Linked DNA regions of Ovis aries. The protein of the gene in region 1 purifies or fractionates together with the protein of each later gene. This does not show direct contact. Links are inferred from orthologs where the notes say so. Each region holds a gene or a part of one and is shown on either strand. Other genes may lie near its edges.

Region 1 (7,558 bases):
CTTGTGAGTCAGCTTGTCTGCAGGCCCCCGAGTCCTCTGCACACACGGGACAGGGTCCTGATCCCAAACTCCACCCCGACACCTGGAGGGAAATGGAGCTGTCCAGAGTGCTAGAATCGCTGAGCCTGGACAGAGCCCTTTCCAGCCCGAGGGGCTGTGCCCTACAGGCCTGGAGCACACAAGGGCTAGAGCCCCAGCTTTAGGAGGAGCCTGATCCAGGCCCAACAGGAGGGTGGTGGCTCCTCTGCCCTCCTCACGAGCTGGAGAGCAGACAGGGAGCGAGGCCTTTGGGCTGACCACCTGCTGTCTGCTGCAAACCCACCTTAAACTGGACCAGCCCCTCCCCCGGGCCAGTCCTCTGTTCACGTGCAAGTTCATTTATCCAAGTTGTTAATATTTTGACTCCTGATGGAATGTTAGGATCTGGGTATGGAAATATGGGTAAGAAGTATTTGTTAAACAAACGTATTTATGGGGCAGCTACCGTGTGCTTGAATGGTGCGAGAGCTGGAAAGGTGAACGGAGTATGCCTGTTGTCCTCCAGGGGCAGTAACTGGTTGGAGAGTCATTCACACGTATTTATTATGTGCCCAGAACCCAGCAAGTCATAAAGAAACGTCTCTTTATTGTTAATCGATGTGTGGTGCAGACAGGTGTAGAGGCTGGGCCCTAGATATATGTCATGTTATTCATATATTCAAGAGATCGTCTGGATGCTGACTGTAGGAGGGCAAGACAGTCGGGAGGCTGGCATTTGCAGTGACCAGAGAGAAAGGCGGCCAGCAGTGGTTGTGGACTAGAGACAGCGCGGAGGGGCGACAGAGCCATTTTGATGAAGTATTGTAGAGAAAAGCTGAAGTTTACACGCATAGGAGTTACACTGAGCCTTCAAAAGTTAATACAACATTTTCACCTAAAGGGCTTGTTAGAAAAGCTTCATGTTGCTTTCACACATTACTGGTGCACCATCAGAATCGCAACAGTCACTTTGCAGAGCTTTGGAGTACCAACCTAGGAGAGGTCCACCTCTGACGCTGCAGGTCTAAGAGAGGCCACTGCTACTGAATTGTGTGGTGCCCATGAAGCAATGCTTTAAGCATTTTACATGCTAATATGATATTTGTAAGTTGTATCTAAGTGCCTTGTTGTGATTTAGGAGATTGGGAATTTTTTGATCAACTTGCTATTTCTTTATCATTCTTCCTATTTAAAATAATGGAAAATTGGTGTCCCTTAGAATATTTGCAGAGATAATCTGACTTTTGAGGCACAGGAGTAATGGTGAAGAACTGACCAGCCTTAGTTTTGGATGAGATTTACACATGTGACTGGCGTGAGTTGCCATTTCCTCCTTTAGGGGATCTAACCCTCATCTCTTGGGTCTCCTGCATTGCTAGGTGGATTCCTTACCACTAGCACCACTTGGGAAGCCCAGACTTACACATACTTATCTTCTAAATTGGGCTTTCCAGGTGGCTTAGTGGTAAAGAATCCGCCTACAATTCAAGAGATGTGGGTTCGATCCCTGGGTCAGGAAGATCCCCTGGAGAAAGCAATGGCTACCTATTCCAGTATTCTTGACTGGGAAATCCCGCGGACAGAGGAGCCTGGCAGGCTACAGACCATGGGGTTGCAAAAAAAGTTGGACACGACTGAGTACTCATGCATCCATGCATCTTCTAAATTATTTAACTTCTCTTCTTCCACATCTTATAGTAAAACTGATGCTCCAGAACACAAATATTCTGTTATTTTGCATCCTCTCTGCATAGAATTGGGCTGTGCAGATTCCAGTTTGAAAAGTGTGTAGTATAGTACTTACAGTTGGTCAGAAAGATTAGGTGGAAAAACGAATTATCACTATAACTTCCAATAGCAACAAATTATTAAAAGCGGTTCCAAAAGTCTATTTTTCATTCTTTTTTTTTTTTTTTTGGTTGCGCCGGCTTGTGGGATCTTCATTTCCCCAACCAGGGATTGAACCCTGGCTCCAGCACTGAATACTAACCCCTGGATGGCTAGAGAATTCCCCAAAAGGATATTTTTAAAAGGATCTTAAAAGTGGTTTTGAAGAAGTCTTAAGGAGTTCTATTGAAGGTATTAGACACAAACCTCCTTGACAGTTTGGGAAGGGGCAACCTGGGGCCCAGAGGAGGGAGTCTGACAAGGGAATTCATTCCGGGCAGTGCGCCTTTCCTTTACCCATCAGAGAGCTCCGGCTGAGGATCCCGAGGCCTAGCCCCGCCCCCAGCGCTAGCCCCGCCCCGGCGCTAGCCCCGCCCCTACCCGGGCAGCCTGCGCACGTGCGCCCTGCCGGCACTGCGCACGCCCGCGGGGCGAGGGAAGGGGCGGGGCGAGCCGAGCCTGGAGGGTCTGCGCGGGGAGAGCATGGCCACGCTGCGCCGGCTGCGAGAGGTGCCCCGGCACCTGCTGGTCTGTGAGAAGTCCAACTTCGGCCATGACAAGTCGCGCCACCGGCATCTCGTGGAGACGCACTATTACAATTACAGGGTGAGTCCTGGCCCTCGGTCCGCGGATCGCGCACGCTCCCTCCCGCGGGCGCGGGAGGCTGGGGGAGAGCCGGGCTCTGCTCCGGGGGCCCGCCCTCGTCGCGTGGAGGGGCGGGGCCCTCGCTCGGCATGCTGGGAGCTGTAGTCTCTCCGTGGCTCCAGGCTCCTGTGTTGGCTCGCTTGAGGACCACAAGTCCCAGGGTGCACCGGTGCGGGGCGGTGCCCCGCCGTCGGAGGGCGGGGCAGGGTTCACGGGGCCTCTGGTCTCTTGCTGTGGCCTGGCCCCGCCCCAGGCGTGCTGCGTCCCTGGGGCGGGGCCGGAAGGCGGGGGCGGGGCCAGGACGGGCGGGGCGGCCGCCCTCCTTCCCTGCCGCTGGGTTCCTGCACCCGCGCGCCTCTCCGGAGCGGCCGGCCCAGTTCCGCCCGGGAGCTGCTTGCTCCTCTAAACCGCTTACGGGCGCTAGTTTGATCCCTGAAAAGCTCTTTCTTCTGCCCGCTGCTCTCCGCCTTGTCCATCCAGAGCGCCAGGGCGGCATTTGGGCAGCTTTTGGTAGAAATTCGCCTCGGCCGCCTTGCCCACAGCGATGTTTGCTGGTGTTCCCTGGAAGTGTCGCCCGCCCCGGGGCCCTTTTCGTGGCTGAGGCGTCAGTGGGGGTGGTTACTGGACCTTCCTGGGGAGGAGAAGCCCCCTGACTCCCGGGCAGTGTCTGCTGGGAAGGCTTCGCGGACCCGTGCAAGTGGGGAGGACTCCAGACTAGACCTTAAAATGGAAGCGCGTGAAGCCTCGCACGCTTTTAAGCTGATCAGCCTAATCTCAGCTCGGCCTCACTGGCCAGTGTCTCAGACACAAGTGGCGACCCCGGTTAGTGTCCCCGCTTTGGGAGAGTGGCCTTTTTCAAGGTGTGGAGCGGCCGGGCACCGCTTGAAACCTGTCGGGTTGAACGTCTCTGCTCTGGATGGATAACTCTTCACAGACAGCCGTCTGGGAGGTGCACTGTGTCCTCCCCAGCCCACGTGCAGAGCTTTTCCGTCGGGACAGTGGGAACACCAAGCTGACTTCTGCTTCCATGTGGCCTGTTAATAACCAGTATCCCCAAATTCCTTACGCCCTAAGGGACAGTTCCTCTGATTCCAGCCTGGTACCAGGATACACAGATCTGGGGATATTCACTTATACTTGGTGAGTCCCTAAGTCTAACCCTAACCCCGCCAGGCTCCTCTGTCCATGGGATTTCCCAGGCAAGAATACTGGAGTAGGTTGCCATTTCCTTTTCCAGGGGATCTTCCTGACCCAGGGATCAAACCTAGGTCTTTTGCATTGGCAGGCAGATTCTTTACCACTGCATTTCCCTAAAAATTAATTAATGTAGTGACAGGAACAGGTCATCAAATATATTGCTTATTTTCAAAAGATAAAACGCAAGCAAGAGTTTCCCATTAAAATTGTTTTTTTTCATTCAATTTCCTATACTGTGCACTTGAATTCAGAAATGGAAAACTTAACTTGTTGGATTTCTCTTTTCCTGAGATTAGTAAATTAATTTCAGACTTTTGCTGAAGGTTGTGGAGGAATGGTTAGTAGCCTTAATTATGTTGTATCATCACTAAATCCCGGGTGTTGATCTGCATGAAAATAAAACTTGTTGAAACCTATAATGGAGTATAATTTGCAAAAATGCTGAATCACATGCTGTATACATGAAACTAGTATAATACTGTAAGTCAACCATGCTTCTGTTATTAATATAAAAATAAGTTTTTTGTGTTGTATATTCCAATAGGTTTCATTTCTGATTCCTGAATGTGGGATACTATCAAAAGAACTGAAAGATCTGGTCATGGAATTTGGACCCTATTACTTTGTGAAGGATTTACCTCTTTATGAGTTAATCACACACGAATTCATCAATTCTTTTGTCAAGAAAGGTAAGAAAAACCTCATAGTGTCTGTGAACATGGTGGGATGCAGAAGGCCAGGGAGGCCACATCACACTTCCGGGGCTCCTGCCTTGTTCGAATCACGCGGATGGAGCGCGTCTGCGAGGTCAGGCGTGCGCAGCCCGCCCTCCGCCCCTCAGTAGCTCAGCCTGCTCTGTGCATCCCCAGGTTTGGTTTCTGATTCCACGGGTCCACACGCGTCCCGTGGGGGTGTTGTCACCCCAAGCTCGCGGAGAGGAAAAGCTTTCCGGCCCCGTGTTCAGATGCACTGCCGTCGGGCGTGGCCGCAAGAACCGCTGTGGTCCGCGCAGTGCCCACAACAGCCGTCTCAGCATGCTGGTCTCCTGATGGAGCCACACTGCCGTCTACACGGCCAGGTGCTGACGGGGGCCCAGCCTCTTCCGCTTGGACCCTGCGGCCCTCATCCCATCTGTGTCTGCTGGGTTGACTGTCTTGTTCCAGTTGCCTCCTGGGAGCCACTCGTTTGAAACCATTCCAGCGTCTTTAAGGATCCGCCCTCACTGCAGGCATCGCCGCACAGGAGCCACTGGCCTCTTGTCGTCGGTCTCAGCGACCCGATTCCTTTCGTTGGTTTTGAGCTGAGGACTTACCTGGCGGTCCGGTGGTTAGGACTTAAGGCTTTCACTGCCCAGGGCCTGGGTTCAATCCTTGCTCAGGGAACTAGATTGACACAAAATACATGGTGCAGCCAGAAAAAAAGCTTGATGCTCCAATTGCTAATGACGTGGGCCCGGGCACGGCAGGCACTTTTACCTGCGCGACTCGACGTCACCCAGCAACAACACTGTGAGATGGGCCTGCAGCCCCATTTTACAGGTGAGGAAATTGAGGCTCAGGGAGCCTGAGCGGCTCTCTTGACGTCGCACAAGCTCTTGGCAGGTTTGAGTCTCACCTGGAACTCGGCCTGGCTGGTGTGTGCGTCCCCTGCCCTTGCTCCCTGGGCCTGTCTGCAGCGTCCGCACAGCTGCACGCGTTTGCCGTGCCGTGGTAGTCGGCTTGCACAGACAGGCCCTGGGTGGGGACCTGGACAAGCAGTGCCTGGCCTCGCGTGTCCTCCACCTTCACTTTGGCTGGTTTAGGGTTATTGAGTGAGCAGGACCCATAACCTGGAGGATTGGTTATCATGTCAAACTAATCCACTAACTTTGCAGGTGTGATTTTTTTTTTCTGAATTTCTCCTCTGGGCTGTCTTTCAGGTTCGTGCTATGTGCTGACATACAACACAAATATTGACGAGGATAATACTGTTGCCCTGCTCCCAAATGGTAAGCACACTCGTTTTTCCTTCATTCTTAAGGAAATGCATACTGTGAAAAAGAAAAAGTCAAAATCATACAGGCGTGAGTAAAGTGATGGTCCACCCTTTCATCCAGCTCCCCTCAAACTCATTCCCGTTCTTAGCAGGAGCCCTTATTAGGAGGTAGGTATTTATTCTTCTAGACACATTCTATGAATTTAAAATCACACATACAGGTTGTTGCTTTTTTTAAATAAAACATATAGTATGTCACACTCTATTTAGTTTCTCAATTACCTTTTTTTCCCAAGGTCTGTTTCCCAGACATCTTTCCATATGGGTGCATACAGTTTTAATTTACTATTTTTAAAGTCTTGAAAATATCCCAAAGAAGAGTACCATAATTTGTTTATTCTTTCTTTAATAAAAAGACAATTTCTAGTTTCACTATAATAAAGAATGTCTTTGTACATGTACTTATAAATAATACTCTTGTTTATAAGTAAGATATATGTGGATAAATAATACACTTGTATTATAAAAAGATCTTTGTGTGCACTGGTATTTAACTGCTCAATTTGCCTTGCTTTCTCTTTGAGAACATGTTATATTTTTATTTTGTTTTATTTTTTAACACCAAAAACAGGAGAACGAATTATGTGTTTAATGTCTCTTTATGGGAATTATTATTTGATTTATAGGGAAATTAATTTTATCCCTGGATAAAGACACGTATGAAGAAACTGGACTTCAGGGCCGTCCGTCTCAGTATTCTGGCAGGAAAACCATGAGATTCAGTAAGTATGGTGCTCTCTCCATCAGTCTCTAAAAGGTGGTGCCTTCTGTAGCAGCTCGAGTTTTCCTGCTTGAACTGCTTCTGTTCTCTTTGGGCAGAAGCAGTGTGGCTTTGCCTCGTCTTTAAAATTCCTTATCAGAGAGGATCTCATACGACCGCATACGACTGTGAGATTCGACCGCGTCTCACAAAGGTCGTAGGCGGGGGCCTGGTCTGTTAGATGCCTGTGTTTCAGGTCACAGGTTCGAAGTAACGAAGCCAACTTGTTCTTCAGGTTTTAAGCTTTGTGTTGAAGGTGGCTGGTGCGCAGCGTCGTGTCAGAGCGGCTCGGTCACACCTGAATATGCGCTGTGTTTCGTGCTCTTCTCCACGACGGCTTATCACAGGATATCGACTGTAGTTCCCTGTGCTCGACAGTGGACCTTGTTTGCCCAGTCTGCATATACAAATTTGTATCTGCTCCAACTTGGTCTTAGCAAAGAATTCCCTTTAATTTTCCCAAGTGTTACGATTCCGGTAGAAGTCACCCGTGACTGAGGAGGTGTGGCTCTGCTCACCGTCTGCTTGCACGTCGGTGGTCACGGCTGCCCCCTGCACGGCTTGATTAGAGTTCATCTCTGCCCTTGGTATTTGGGAAAAGTGTGAATTTTAAACCCCTGTTGTGATTAGCGCAAGTCCTGAAATGCCCATCAAAAGCAGAGTTTTGATTTGGTAAACCAAAGGGAGGGCAAGGAGGACAAAGTGACTCTTTTCATCCATGAATTTTCCGAATCTCCTGATGTTTTTAATCCAGCATGTGTTGCGCGGTGCAGGCCGTGTGTGCATGAACTGTTAATTCCTCTCCGTTTTTTAAAGTTGTTTCCATTGATCTGATGGATTTATCCTCTAACCTGGACTCTAAGAAGTATAAGAGAGTATCTTGGGCCTTCAAAGAAAAGAAGCCGTTGAAGTTTGATTTTCTTTTGGCGTGGCATCAAACAGGTATGAAAAATAAATTGTGTAATAACGACACAGTGGTGTTGAAATCTAGTTGTTAGCTGCAGGGGTGTAGTGAGG
Region 2 (6,856 bases), on another chromosome or scaffold:
CTCCCCTCTCCCTCTATAAATTGTTTAAATTTATTTTAATCACAAATAATATGTGAAAAATAACATCAGCCAACATTTCCTGAGAACTTACCAGCCGAGGTTTTAAGACTGTTAGGTGCCTCACAACTGCTTTATGAGGCATGTTCCTGTATTAGTTCCACTTTACAGCTGAGAAAACCAAGGCACAGGGTCTAATGGCCCAAAGTCACAAAGAGGCAAAAAGAAGCTAATGAAGCTCAGACTTCAAGGTCAGGACCTCATTACACAGTCTGTTCCAAGCCTCCAGGCTTAAACTTTGTATTCTGAAGGCACAAACGGAGGCTTCAGAGTGTGTGTACTAGAAAACACCACACACTACAAAAAAATAAAAATAATTTTAAAATGCATTTACATCTATAAACATGAACACATTTTAAAAAAAAACACTTGTGGTCCTACTGTGAGGCTTTTTTAACAGAAAGTCTTGACTCTTTCCACGTTTCTGTCGTGGAGTGTGCGCCACAAATGCTCAACTTAGGCACCTTCCCAAGAGTTGAGCCCTCTACTCTCCTCCCAGCTGCGTCTGCCGGGTCCCCCTGTCCCCCTCCCCCGTTCCTCCCTGCCTCCCCCGGCGTGTCCTTCCTGGGCCTCGCTTCTCTCCCCGTTTCCTCTCCCACAGCGCTCCCCTCCCCTGCTATCCTTGCTCCTTCCCCTTCGTCTCTCTTGCTAACTGTCTAATGCATCTCTGCCTCTCCCTGCCCCACCCCCGCGCTTGGCCATCCAGCTCACAGGCCCCTCTCCCGCCCTTGGCTGCCCTCTGCCAACCTCGCTACCCTCGTTTACAGTGCCCCCGCCTCCCCGCCCCGCTTTCAATCTTTCCGCTCCCCTCCCCGTCCTCGTTCCCCGCTAAGCCCCGCCACTCCGCGGCCCGGCAGGAGAGCACAGCCGGCGGGCTGCGACGCGCGCTGACAGGGTAATGAATGGCTTCAGCGGTAATTAGCGACCCGGCGGCTAATCATGATGTACATTTACATTTTAAGTGCTGCAGAGGGAGCTGGAGAAGGGGAGGGGAGCGACGGGAGGGGACGCGGGCCGTTTCCGCAGCCTCCCTTCACCGATTGGGGAGCGAAGTGAACCGAGTCTTCTCCAGCTGGCGGCAGTGGAGGGGGATGGCGGTGCGAGGCTTTCCAGGCCAACCCGGGCGAATGCAGAACTGCCTCATCCTCAACAGACGTAAACGCGGAGCTCCCAGACCCCTTCCTCCAAACTGAAGACCCCCGATTAATCCCCTCCAAGTGAACGTTCAGCCTAGGCTTACATACCCCAGTGGATGGAGAGCTCTCTTCTTCCGTAACCAACCGGTTCGGACTTAGATTCCAGCGGTCTGGGGACTTCTCAGGCCTAACGAAACTGATGCCCGTTAAGGCCCACAACTGCCCCAGTTTTACAGAACCTGAGTACCCCTGAGCCTCGCCAAGTGCTGCAAATTCTTGTGTCTTCACCAGACTGCTGCCCTTCGACTCCTACGGCTGTTCCTCGGGGGGTAGGGGGTGGGGCCGCGGGAGCTGCGACAGGCCAGAAACACAGATTCCGAGCCGAAAGCGCCCTCCAGAGCCTCTCTCCCCAGCGTGCGAGCAGGAGATCCCAGAAGAGGATGGTCATTCATGTACTGGGGCTCAAAAGTCCACCTGCTCTCCAGTCACTCCCAAAGGGCCGTAGTGGAGTCAGTCCCGGGTTCCAAACAGCAGGGCCGAGCGCTAGGAGATACGAGTTACTGAGAAGGCGAAAGCAGCCTGGAGGAGAGGAGGGGGACCCCAGCAGCCCCGTCTCAAGACTCGGCACCAGCTCTCCCAGGCACTGGGATGACCCCAGCACTTCAAGGGCTTCCTGTCCGCCGCAGCTATCAGGGCTCCACCCCGCCACGCCCCATCGTAGTCACCCCTACCCGGATCAGGTCTGGCCCACCTTCAGTTCTGTGTGTCCCGCGAGGGGTGGAAGGATGAAGGACGAGGCCCTGGGGCAGTTCTAGGAAGAATACAGCTGTATTCTTCACAAACCCGCTCTCTCTCATCAGCAGTCCTTTAAAGCCCAATCTCATCTCTCCCTTCACTGTCCATCTCTCCTGGAAAGAGATCCCGGGCCACTCCCTCGGTCTTGCGGAGTTCCAGGGGAGGGGCACCCGGTAACTGTCCCTGAGATTTCCGTTTCCCAGCTACCTCCCTTCTCCCTCAAAACCTGCTTTTACCCAGCCTCTTTTCTGAAAAGGACCCCACTGGGTCCCAGGGGGCCCGGTTGACTAACAACAAATTCCACCTGAGAAGAAAGGGGATCCACGTGAGCAGAGGACAATATCTGGCTTACTCTAGGGCATGCAGTTCTAATACTCGACTTTCAGGCATGGATGGAGGGAGCTTAACTCCTCTTGAGAAGGGAGTCTCATTGTTCTCGTCCCATTCATCCCAGGGCACAGCCTGGCCCAGAGCCTCGGTTCGCAGAGCAGGGGTGTCTGGGAGCCTTCAGCTCCGGTCAGGCGCGGCAAGCCTGAGACCTCAGTTCTCCGGTTGTCCTGCGAGGACCATGCCGAGACATAGTCGTCGAGGGCAGACGCGGAGCGGAGACGGCGCCTACTACACTCTGCTGACAGCGTGCAGGCTGTCCTTCAGGCGAGAAGAGAGGCTCGGGAGCGAAGGGATGGGGTGGGGGTGGGGGTGTCGTTCCTCTAGGAGTGGGAGAAAGAGGTCCCAGTCCCCAGAAGGCCGCTTTGAAATCTCTCATTGGGAGCGGGCAAGGGGTGGGTGGCCTTCAGCTGAACCGCGGAAGGGCTCGGGGACCCGGCTTGAAGCTGAGTTTGCCCAGCAAATGCAGTTTTTATTTAGGTTGCAGGTTTATGAAGGTAGGCTCAGGGAGGGCTGATGGTGATTATAGGGAAACTTCAGCTGGCAGGTCACTCCTGGCACTGCCATGGCATCCCGCGATGCGCGCACCTCCCAAACCCGGATATCAGAGGACCAGAGTGGATGCGGGCGAATTGCTGGTGAGGCTGGGCGCGAGCTGGCAGGGCTGGGTAAGGGGCGGGGCCCGGCGGCAGGGGCGGGGCTCCCAGGCTCTGAGGCGGGGCCTCAGCTAAAGGCGCGTAGCACAGGGCGCCGAGATCGCCGAGTAGAGCAGCGCCCAGTGGAGAGAAGTGGAAGGCTAGGATCGCACCGTCCCAATCGGCCAGCCAGCGTCCACGCCGCTCCCGCACCCTTAACCCTGCCGGCCCTTGCGGGACGCGACCCACCGACATGCATTCCCGGGGCTGAGGCGGCCCGATGGCGAAGCCCGCGTCCCCGCAACGACGGCGCATGGAGAACTTCCGTAAGGTGCGCTCCGAGGAGGCGCCGGTGGGGAGCGGGGAAAAGGAGGGCGGCCCAGGCTCAGGCCCCTTCGCCGACCTGGCGCCGGGCGCCGTGCATATGCGGGTCAAGGAGGGCAGCAAGATCCGGAACCTGCTGGCCTTCGCCACTGCCAGCATGGCGCAGCCAGCCACGCGCGCCATCGTCTTCAGCGGCTGCGGTCGAGCCACCACCAAAACCGTCACGTGTGCCGAGATCCTTAAGCGCCGCCTGGCGGGTCTGCATCAGGTCACGCGGCTGCGCTACCAGAGCGTGCGCGAGCTGTGGCAGAGCCTCCCTCCGGAGCCCACACCGGGGCAGAAGCCTGGCGAGCCAGCCGCCAGTCTCAGTGTACTTAAGAACGTGCCCAGCCTCGCCATCCTACTTTCCAAGGATGCCCTGGATCCGCGCCAACCCGGGTACCAGCCGCCGAACCCCCATCCCGGCCCCTCGTCCCAGCCAACTGCTCCGACGTCCAAGAGGAGTCTAGGGGAACCTACTGCTGGAGAGAGCTCCGCGAAGAGGTCACAACCCGAGCCAGGTGCTGCTGAAGAGGACCAGACCGCCTGAGAACTCCGGCCTCTGGGCCACCTGGACGGGCTGAATCCTACGCTCGAGCTTCGACCTTGAGATGCATCTCTAGCCTTTCACGCCTTGGTACTCTGGAACCTACAACGTGGAAGCATAGACCCCAAGGCGACAAGGGGGGACCCCAGGGAAGCTTCGTGGTGGGGTTGCTCCTCCAGCTGTGTTGCCTGACGACACTTTCAGCTTTTCTGAACCATACGGGGACCTTCTTCAGGGAGGGAATGGTGGGCAATGGGATTCTTGAGCCTTTAACCCCAAGGGTTAAAGGTTCATGTAGGATTCTTGAAGTGGGCTACGAAGGTGGAAGCTGAGGAGAGCTCTTGAAACCACCCCACCATTGTCAGCAGAGGGCAAAGGGTTGGAAACCACTGCTTGAGGGCGGGGGATTTTGAGTGGCAAGGGGTAAGGGGCTATTCTGCTCCTCACCCCAGGACAGTTTCTAGTTTTCCTTTCCCTGCTTTTAAGGAGCATCCTGAGATCATGGTGGCAGGGGCGTCTCCATAGGCTCTTTTAACATCCCACTTTCCCCATGCTGGCCCAGAGGGAGAGACCCAGGACAGAACTCTCCATGCCGCCTCCCCTGAGCCCCACAGCTGGAGTCTTGCTTCCAATAAAACAAACACAAAAAAGGCTCTGTCCCTGGGTTTTTTCCTAACCACTAGCCTGTGTAGAGACTGCTCTGGTCTGCCCCCTTGTGTCTCAGTCCCCTCCAGCCTGGAATCCTTAGCTTTTGGAGTCTTATGGGTCAGGCACAGAAACTGGACAGCTTTGAAATGGTGCTGGGAGCACCTTACCCAGTGCCTGGTTCCTCCCTCTTTCTCAGCCCTCCCTGGCTAGCTCCAGTAGCTTCAGGGCTTGTGGACAGAAGGGGACCTTGGTCACCTTATGTGCTACCACTAAGGGAAAGGGAGCAGCATACTGCTTTTCTGGAAGGGGGAGGAAGGGAAGCATCAATGAACTATCCTGGGGGTCACTGCCAAGGGTGGCAGATCCAACTGGGCTCCCTAAGCCTGCAGCCTCCTGCCAATAAACAGCCCTACCAGACGGCTGGCCCAGAGCCCCCCAGCCCCATGGATAGAATCTACCCTTCACTGCTCGCTCGCTCTCTCTGAGAAAGGACAGCACACCCTTGGGAGAGGGGGAGGAGAGACTGAGCACAAATCCACTGCTGGAAATTACTATTCAGCAGAGAAGCTGGGACTTGGGCTGTGAATCACTGCAGGCTCCCTGATAAGCTGCTGCCTCTGGCCCTGCACAGCTGTCTGTTGAGAGATAACAGCCTTATAAGCCTTTCTGCCCAACTCCAAGTCAGGTGGGAGGGTGGAAGGAGTGCTGTGTACTGGAAGAACTCTAGCAAATATGAGGGGGAGGGGCATGTAGCTCCAAGATCATAGAAGCAGACCCTGTCCCCTTGCAACTTAACAGCATCCTTGGAAAGGAGGAGATGGGGAAATATGTAAGTCACTTTGTAGGCTAAAAGCTGAAATAAATCCTTCTGCTGGTAACAAGAGGTAGGTTTCTGCAGTTGATATAAGGGGCTCTTCAGGGAGTTCACCCTCACCCCCAGCTCTGCTTGAGCTTTGGATAGGTGGGCCTTGTCAAAGAGACTCTGGCACTGGCTGCTCTCCCTAATGGCTTGTTCTTGATGAGTCCCTAGGGAGAGCCAAGGGATTGGGGTGTGTGAGTCTGACTCTCTCAGGAGCAGCCCAGGAAGTGTGGAGAGAATGTAAACTGTCCTGACAACAAGGTTGCCCTGGGCTGGCACTGGGCATCCGCATCTGAATTTAAATGATCCAGCGCAGAAGAGGTCCTGCCTGGTAGAGTCTTAGGAGAGACTGCTCTTGGTTCTGGAAGAGGGTCAATTTTCCAAGATCGCTAGTGTCTAAAGTCCTGATTGCTGGGTCACCAGGACAATGCAAGCTTTCTCATTGAAGATGTCTTGGGTCAGGTGAGTCGCCTTCCAGCCTAGAAACTCACCCTGTGGTGTGGAGAGGAGAGGGGCATGTTCTTTCCCCACCTTCAGAGTGTTACCCTGCTCACATGGTGGACTGCGTTTCTGCCTCCCATGCTAGAAAGTGGGTTATGAAACTGGCTGTCTTTTCTGCACCTTTACTCCATCCCAGCAGCTTCAGTTCCCAGGATTTTGATAGGTGCTCACGGGTGCCAGTGGAACCCAGCATCCATGAATGAGCTCCCCACCCCTGCTTTACTAGATCTTCTTGCCCTTCTGACCCAAGTGGTGACAGATACCCTTATCCACCCTCAACTCCAAGGCTGAGGTGGGAACCTGAGAAGCACTGAAATAAGGCAGGGAGTGGCCACGGGAGCAACTCAGAGACAGCTCACTTCAAGAACTGACTCGTGGCAGAATGGGAGGGAGTGGGGAGTGCCTTGCCCCACTGTGAGACACCATCTTTCCAGTAGGACCTCTATCCAAGAGCTTTCTGGGCCCTCCTTTGGGGACACTTCCAGCTAGGGGTGGCAGTGAAGACTCACACCCCCAAAACTATCTGGTCACACAATCAGAATCCACTTGGGAACATAAATAAATATAATCTAAGGCCAGAGCATGTGGTTAAATGGGCAGTGGACCACCAACTGGGACTTCACTGTTGTGCCAGGTTCCAGTCTAAGCACAGAGTTGGGTGGGGAGTCGGGGGGAGAATCACAGTATAATCAGACACAGTTTCTGCTGCAAGGATATCCCGGTCTAGGGGAGAGGGAAAAGAAAGTCATGGCACAATGCAATAATAGTGGGAGAAGGGAGTTCTGAGAAGAGGCACTTAATTCACTCAGAGGTACTGATGGAGCTGGCTCTGCGGTGACCAGACAGAGTTAGCCAGCGGACGGGACTAGACAAGGAATTCCAGGCAGAGAGGTGATGGTGCATCTGGTGTTGAGGCAGCCACAAGTGT

What was found. The genes of interacting proteins can lie anywhere in the genome.
Region 2: the proteins of RPP40 (region 1) and RPP25 purify together in Homo sapiens (affinity purification with mass spectrometry; 3 studies listed by BioGRID and IntAct, counting the BioPlex papers as one, with this or other methods). This does not show direct contact. The link is inferred for Ovis aries from reciprocal best matches to the Homo sapiens genes RPP40 and RPP25.

What each region holds. Positions count from the first base shown.
Region 1 is NC_056073.1:48,685,048-48,692,605, forward strand, and holds the start of RPP40 (ribonuclease P protein subunit p40), read left to right. Parts: upstream 1-2,360; 5' UTR 2,361-2,388; coding exon 2,389-2,511; intron 2,512-3,624; exon of another isoform or gene 3,625-3,690; intron 3,691-4,291; coding exon 4,292-4,436; intron 4,437-5,665; coding exon 5,666-5,734; intron 5,735-6,407; coding exon 6,408-6,503; intron 6,504-7,357; coding exon 7,358-7,483; intron 7,484-7,558. UniProt on the Homo sapiens protein: Component of ribonuclease P, a ribonucleoprotein complex that generates mature tRNA molecules by cleaving their 5'-ends. Also a component of the MRP ribonuclease complex, which cleaves pre-rRNA sequences.
Region 2 is NC_056071.1:31,411,021-31,417,876, forward strand, and holds RPP25 (ribonuclease P protein subunit p25), read left to right. Parts: upstream 1-3,133; 5' UTR 3,134-3,290; coding exon 3,291-3,923; 3' UTR 3,924-4,572; downstream 4,573-6,856. UniProt on the Homo sapiens protein: Component of ribonuclease P, a ribonucleoprotein complex that generates mature tRNA molecules by cleaving their 5'-ends. Also a component of the MRP ribonuclease complex, which cleaves pre-rRNA sequences.